2 linked regions of the Canis lupus familiaris genome follow. The protein of the gene in region 1 purifies or fractionates together with the protein of each later gene. This does not show direct contact. Links are inferred from orthologs where the notes say so. Each region holds a gene or a part of one and is shown on either strand. Other genes may lie near its edges. The genes, in order: RANBP6 and ARMCX3.

The links.
Region 2: the proteins of RANBP6 (region 1) and ARMCX3 purify together in Homo sapiens (co-immunoprecipitation; 3 studies listed by BioGRID and IntAct, counting the BioPlex papers as one, with this or other methods). This does not show direct contact. The link is inferred for Canis lupus familiaris from reciprocal best matches to the Homo sapiens genes RANBP6 and ARMCX3.

Annotation. Positions count from the first base shown.
Region 1 is NC_049232.1:27,101,113-27,105,658, forward strand, and holds the start of RANBP6 (ran-binding protein 6), read right to left. Parts: upstream 2,960-4,546; 5' UTR 2,905-2,959; coding exon 1-2,904. UniProt on the Homo sapiens protein: May function in nuclear protein import as nuclear transport receptor.
Region 2 is NC_049260.1:75,895,905-75,898,433, reverse strand, and holds part of ARMCX3 (armadillo repeat-containing X-linked protein 3), read right to left. Parts: coding exon 2,209-2,529; 3' UTR 1-2,208. UniProt on the Homo sapiens protein: Regulates mitochondrial aggregation and transport in axons in living neurons. May link mitochondria to the TRAK2-kinesin motor complex via its interaction with Miro and TRAK2.

The sequences.
Region 1 (4,546 bases):
GGAATTTGCACACTTAATAACTTTTACCAGCAGTGGAACAGCTTCCGAACATAAAGAACGATAATCATCTCCACCAAACTGTGCCATAACACCCAGGCCATAAGCAGCAGCTTGTCTGACTTCAGGGTTATTGTCTCGCATATTTAGTAGCATTGGCCACCTAAAATATTCTACATATTTAAATGAGGTTGGACTGCAGTGCTCTATAATATCATCAAAAATGCACAATCCCCACTGTCTGTCTGGCCATGGCCTACTTGAACAAATTAGATTTACAATTAATGGAAGCAGCTGTTCAAACCACGGTAAAATCTTTTCCTTATAAGTACTAAATAATGAGTGCAAAATATCTGATACTTTGGTCAGAATATAAACATCACATTCATCCTCATCTTGTAGAGACATTTCAACCTGTTGGTCATAGTTTTCTTCCTGTCTTTTAACCTGTCTCAATTCTTGGTTTTTAAAATGCCCTTCAAGTTTTGCTTTCAGTATTTCTCCTAGTTCTTCCAAGTGTTCATCATTAAGGCACCCATCTCCCATTACTTCAATGGATTTTGCAAAAGAATTCATTACTTCTGAGAGTACATCTGTATCAGGTTCAGTCCCAATAGCCTTGATTAAAGGATCACATATGAATTGCCACATCTGTGCAAGATACTCTGGGCCACGAATTCTTGCACATTCCAGGAGAAAAGGCATAGACTCTGCTGCTGCCACTCGAACATTGTCATGGAAATAAAATTTCAATAAAGGAACCATAAGCTTTACAACTTGTTCTGTATATTCCACAAATCCTTCCCCTAATTCCTTAGCATAGTAAACCAACATTTGACAAGCAGTTGCTTTTGCTTCAAGTCCTGAAGTTTTAATTCCAAAACTTTGTTGGTCTCCAAGATTTACAAATTGCCATCCATCATCATCACTCATATTTTCCACATCTTGTGTGTCTAAGAGAGCAACATCAGGTTTTGCTGAAGCAGTCTTAATGAGAGGCTCAATAACCAGTGGAAGATACTGTTGAAAATCACTTCCAAGAATTTTACACATTCTGGCCCATGCTGAAACCATGTAAGATGTCTGAGGGTCATCATCTTCCATATTATTTAAGTCTGATTGTGTCTTCAACAATAGCTGCATCACATTTGATGCATCTTGCATAAATTTTTCCTTCCCAACAGCAAGACCAACATGGCTAATGCACTCAATAGTTTTTCCTTTCAGAAGCTTGAGTTCCTTTTGAATAGCAAGCTCAACAATGTGCTTTAGTGATGGCATAAATATATCATAATATGGAACAAATTTTTCTTCTATTGTATCTGCAACTGAGGCAATGGTTGTCACAAGCTGTTCCAAGGCCAATTTAGTTCCATTCCGAATCAACTCTTGAAGTTTAATCACCAAGATGGAATGTAGATTTCTCACCATACTATCCAAATATAGAACTAGCAATGCTTTGGGGCAGTCTTCTATAAAAATAATAAGTGCAGAAGCCGCATGTGATTGCACACGCTGATTACCTTGATTTTCCATGGTACGCAACAGAGCTGCAATCACTGTTTCATGGAATTTCTTTTGGAAGTTAGGCGCAAAATCTGTAGCCATCTGTCCAAGCGTAGTACAGGCTGCAGCCCTCACCCTTGGGTGAGGATCCTGAAGAAAAAGCAAAACAGAGTTAACTGTTTCATCTAGAATTGATTCCATTTGCTGATGGCATCCTTCTCCAATGGCAGATAAGGCCATTAATCCAGCATGTCGATATTTCCAGTCAGGGCTCTGAAGCATCTGCATGATGTGCTCCTTAGTCATTGGTAAAACAAGTTTTCCACCGAGCCCACAAGCCAGTCTGTCTAGTGCACTCTCAGCAGCAACTGCATTGCTGTCAAAATCATCTTCTTCCATCTCATCAGCATTTACCCAGTCCTCATCATCTTGTAGATCAACCATCATTGCTAATATATGAGGAACTGCCTGTGCAATTATATTTGTATGTTTTTTCAACATTGGGGTTGCAGTTTCAGACAAGGTCACTATTATTTCAAGGGCCAGCTGGCGTTGCAGATTACTAAGTCTAGAGTCTCCACATAACTTCAGACTCAACTGCAGAGTGTCTTCTAAATAAGGACCCAAGTATTTAGGTACAGTATCTGCAATCTCAACAAGGGATTCTAGCACTGAATCATCATCCTGGTAGCATGAGTCACTCACAGCCTGTAAGATTCCAGGAAGCAAGTCTGAAAAGTCTTTGAAAAGAGCAATATTATTCTCATTAGCAAGTACAAATGCAGCTGCAGCTCTAGCAGATAATGTCCTGATTGCTGGATGTTCTTGATCCTGAATGCACTGGTCCAACAACCGTTTGATGATATCCAAATCGTGCCGCTCTTGGTTCCCAAAGATCCCAGGAAAGTGCCAGAAAACATGAAGTGCAACTTCCCATAGAACTACATTTTTAGAGTAGATTGAATCGATAAGGAACTTCAGACCTTCGGGCCAGTGGTTAGTGCCATCCTCATCTATCAAATTCCTGGCCAGCACTGCAAAAATATCACAAAGTTTTTTCCTCATGCTAGCATGTGTTTCTAACTTAACAGCCAGTATCAGTTCAATCTTGACGTCCCTCTGAACATCAGAAGGCAGATTTGGATAGACTTCCTCAAACCCAGAGGACAAAAGCCGTCGTAGCAGTGCGGCAGCCATTTGTCTCACCTCATAACCTGCTCTTCTATTTCTGACAGCATCTAAGAGGAATGTAGTCTTACACAGACCTGGGATATTTTCATAGATTTCCTCTGCCTGCCTCCGCACCATACAGCTTGGATTGATCAAGTTCTTCAGAAGCTGATAAAACTCTTGCTTTCCCGACACAGTAGCCGGTCCCCCTGCAGACACGGCCGCCGCCATCGCGCTCTGTCAGAGAAATCGCGACCGGGAAGGAAAGAGGGGGTCTGCGGCCAGAAGCGGTGACGTCAGCGGAGCGCCGGCGGGGATGGGCGGGGCCGCTGGCCCAGGCGGCCGGCGGTTTGGCTGCGCGGCGGGGGTGGGCCGCCGGGCGTCCGGGGATAGCAGGATGCGGTGGGGGCGGCCGCCGTCCTCCAGCTGTTGGCCAATCAGATTTAAAAAAAAAAAAAAAAAGCACTTGCGGAAAGAGAGAGAGAGAAAAAAAAGAAAATTATGATATTGAACGTATTAGAATGGGATTATGGGTGATTTTTCCGGCTTTATTTCTAAACTGTTGTTACCCTGATAATTTTAAAACGATAATTACATCTTGAAAACTCCCCAGGTGAAAAGCCAGTCACAAAAGGCCAAATATTGTATGATTCCATTTATAGTAAAGGTCTTGAAAAGGCAAATCTATATAGTAGATTAGTGGTTGCCAGAGGCAGTGGGAACGAGAGAATGTAAAATGACTGCTGTCAGGTAATGGGTTTCTTTTGGAGTAATGAAATGTTCTAAAATTAATTGTGGTAATGGTTGCACAACTCCGTGATTATACTTAAAATCACTGCATTATACAATTGAAACTGGTGAATTGTATAGTATGAATAATAATACCTCAATAAATCCGTTTATCAAGTAAGTGCGATAAAAGATAATGATTACCATCCCACTACCACATCTAATGAGTAAGAACAGTGGTGCTCAAACTCTAGTGTGTCAATCACCTGGCCTATGGATGATAATAAAGAATGAGGAAGACAACTAAATATAGTGGACAGTGACCTGGGCTAGTAATCAGAAGACTTGAATCCTGGTCTTATCTGTATATTAATTTTGTATCCGTGGTCATGTCACTCAAGGTTTTCTTTGTATATTGCCTAACTTAAAATGCTTTTACAGTTTTCCTTTTAGTAGGAAGATGCTGAGATTATTCCAAGAAACAAATGCCCCTGAAGCTAAATATTATTTCTTTAAGCAGATGAATCAATCAAAAACAACGATCATTCCTCTAACAATGATTAAATCGTATTTGTATTAGCACTTTGCCACTGTGTAATTTTGAACCTTACACAGGTTTGCAAATCTGGTAGGCTGGATATAATACTAATTTTAGGTAATTAATAGAAACTCAGAGAAGTTAAGGGACCTGCCTAAGATGGCACAGCTGAATATCAAATCCACTTCTGAAAGGAACACCAATGATCTTCCACCATGCCACTTCCCCATAATCGCTCTTGGTTTTGCAAATGATCAGAGGTCTTCACTTATTGCAAAATCTATTGTAAATTTCTCCAAGCGGGCTTAATTTTAATTTTGTAAAATGCTACTGCATATACCCACAGAGATAGAAGATCCAGCTTTAAGATTAGCCAGATGATAGACAAAACAGTCTCATAAATTACATTGTAATATGCAATACTATACTCATTTAGGAAGAAGTATTACTCTCTAAACTGTTTCTCATTCTGTGGACTTAAAACCGACAGCATCAGAATCACTTGAGGTACTTACTTTTAAATATACATATTAGGGCCCAAGATCTAAACTACTGAAGCAGAATTTCTGGGGAATGCAACCCAAGAATGTTTAATTTTAACAACAT
Region 2 (2,529 bases), on another chromosome or scaffold:
CTGGATGTCACATAGATACCTCAAACTCAGTTTATTTTAAGTGGATTAGCCTTCCCCTCCCAAATCTCTTTCTCCTACCTAATAATAGAGCAAGAAAAATGTTAGTTGCCTTTTCCAGTGCCCACCCATGAAACTAGTGTCAAATGAGTCTCCACTAGTATGTGATTCAATAGGGTCACCATATGCAATGACTTTAAGCCAATCAGTTTCTGATCCTTTTATCTAATATAGACAACATTAAGATAGGTATATGGAAGCCTGGGGCTGGAAGCAGATGGTAACTGAACAGAGGATTTTACCCTTTCCTGATCTCACTAGGAATATGTTGTAGAGGTTGGTGGGATCATGTCTGAGGAAATACTGAGTCCTTGGAAGTAAGAAAACCTTATTCCTTTGAGAAGTTATTTTAACAGTTGTCTTGCAGGAATGACAGAACTCTACACACTAGTCACTTAATAAATGCTAACCTTTATTGTTATTATTTACTAAATGACACTGACACACGGCAGAATGCCCCCAGCAAAACAAAGGTCAACCAAAAAAAACCATCAACCCTACATTCTAGGGAGTTAAGGGTGCTCATTTTTCTTAATTAACTGCTCTGTGCCAGGACATTCTAAGTATTTTGCATGTATTATTTAACTTAATCTTCATGACAAGCCCCATCTTCATCACTCGTCTATCATTTCAGAGAGGAAGCTTCAACCTATCTCATTTTTAATCTAAATTGTTTTCTACTCAGTACATGCTCCAATCACCTGCTTCATTCCCAACACTTTCTTTTACAAAAATTTCCAAAAAAACAATATTCATTTCATATAAATGAGAATACATAAATGAATAAAAAGTAAAATGGTAAAGATCATTCATTATCCTTCCACTCAAATATACCAGTTACTGTTTGGATATTTATAATTCCACAGTTTTTTTTTTTTAATTCCACAGTTGTTAATGTCTACTTCAATATATGTTTTACTATCTTTGAAAAAGAAATAGAATCATTCTATGAACACTGCTATCTAACCTACCTTTCTCATTTAACAATGCAGAATGAATATCTTCTCCGGGCAATATGGATTTGAATCGACATATTTATCATATATACCATGTGAACATTCCTTAACTTATTTAACAAATTCAGTGTGCTACACTTAGGTTACTTCCAATTCTTACTGTTTCAGACAATGCTGGGATGAAGAGCCTTGTACATACAGTCTTTAGCCAATTACTCAATTATTTCCTTAGGACAAAGGGTTTTTACATGCTTTAAGGCTTATATGTATTATCAAATGGCCCTCCACAAACCTGTGCAAACTCAGTGTAAACTCATTCCTACAACCAGGGTTTGGTAGGATCCATGTTTCCACACCTTTGCGGACACTGCATAGCTGGTGAGCGAGAGACCTCAATATGAATTCCAATTATTCTTTTTAGTCAAAAATATTTCCTGGCTCTTTGTGTTCAGTGGGATAATATGCAAACAGCTCTCTACAAACTGGCTTCACTCAGCTTTCCAAATTTATTTACTTCCAATCCCCACGCTCTCCACTCTAAGGTGACTAATCTCCTCCCAGTCATAGGAAAAGGCGTCCTACTTCTATGCCTCCTACCTCTAACGCCCCTTCACTCTTGCTTTTGGAAAGCCTAACTACCTAACCCAGTCAGGACTCATTTTCGATGGTTGCTTCCTCCAGAAGTTTGTAGCTATTATATCCCACAGAAGCCTTTGCTTCCTCTATGCTCTGAGAGCACACATTTGACAATGAGCATATGCTCCAGATATTGTTATCTTTTTGTTTGTATATTTCTTATCTCTCCAACTAGATTATAAACCAAGGACATGAATGCTTTCTTTCTTTTTTCTTTCTTTTTTTTCGGCATTAACACACAAGTTTATTGATGATACACGAAGTTAATGCAAATGACAGGAGGGAGCTTACTTATGACCGACCGGTTCACTGTCACGCAAAAGAAATAGTAAAAATATTTCAATCTAGGCAATGAGATAAAAAGCAACAAACATATTTTCAGAATAGGTAGTGATATTCATTCACCCAGTTTAGACTTGAAAACCAACTCAGCATTGATGATACAATGATATTCATCACTCAAAATTGGCAGCTAAAAGGATTCCTTTACCATATAAACAAGGTGGAGAAAAGGAATAGTTTACAATGTGTGTTGCTTCTAAACTACAAAATCAAGAAGTCATTCCTGGCTCTTTGGGAACATACGCTCAGCCAGTTTGGCCATGAATTTTCCAACTTTTACTTTCACCAAAAAATCATGGTGACTTTCTATCCCCAGAATCTTGTCAGCACACCCTTGAAATTCTTTTAAAAAGAAAAACAGTGAACCTTCGCTGAATTGATCCTGAGCAGGTTCAGTTTCTTCACATTTAAAATTGTCATTTATGTTCTCGAATATGACCAGAAGCTTAAGAATAACCTCTTTGTTCTCCTTCTTAGTAAAGAGGGAGCCCAGTGAAGATGGTACTTGGGCTCTGAGCAGTGCCCTAGCCATGGCTGG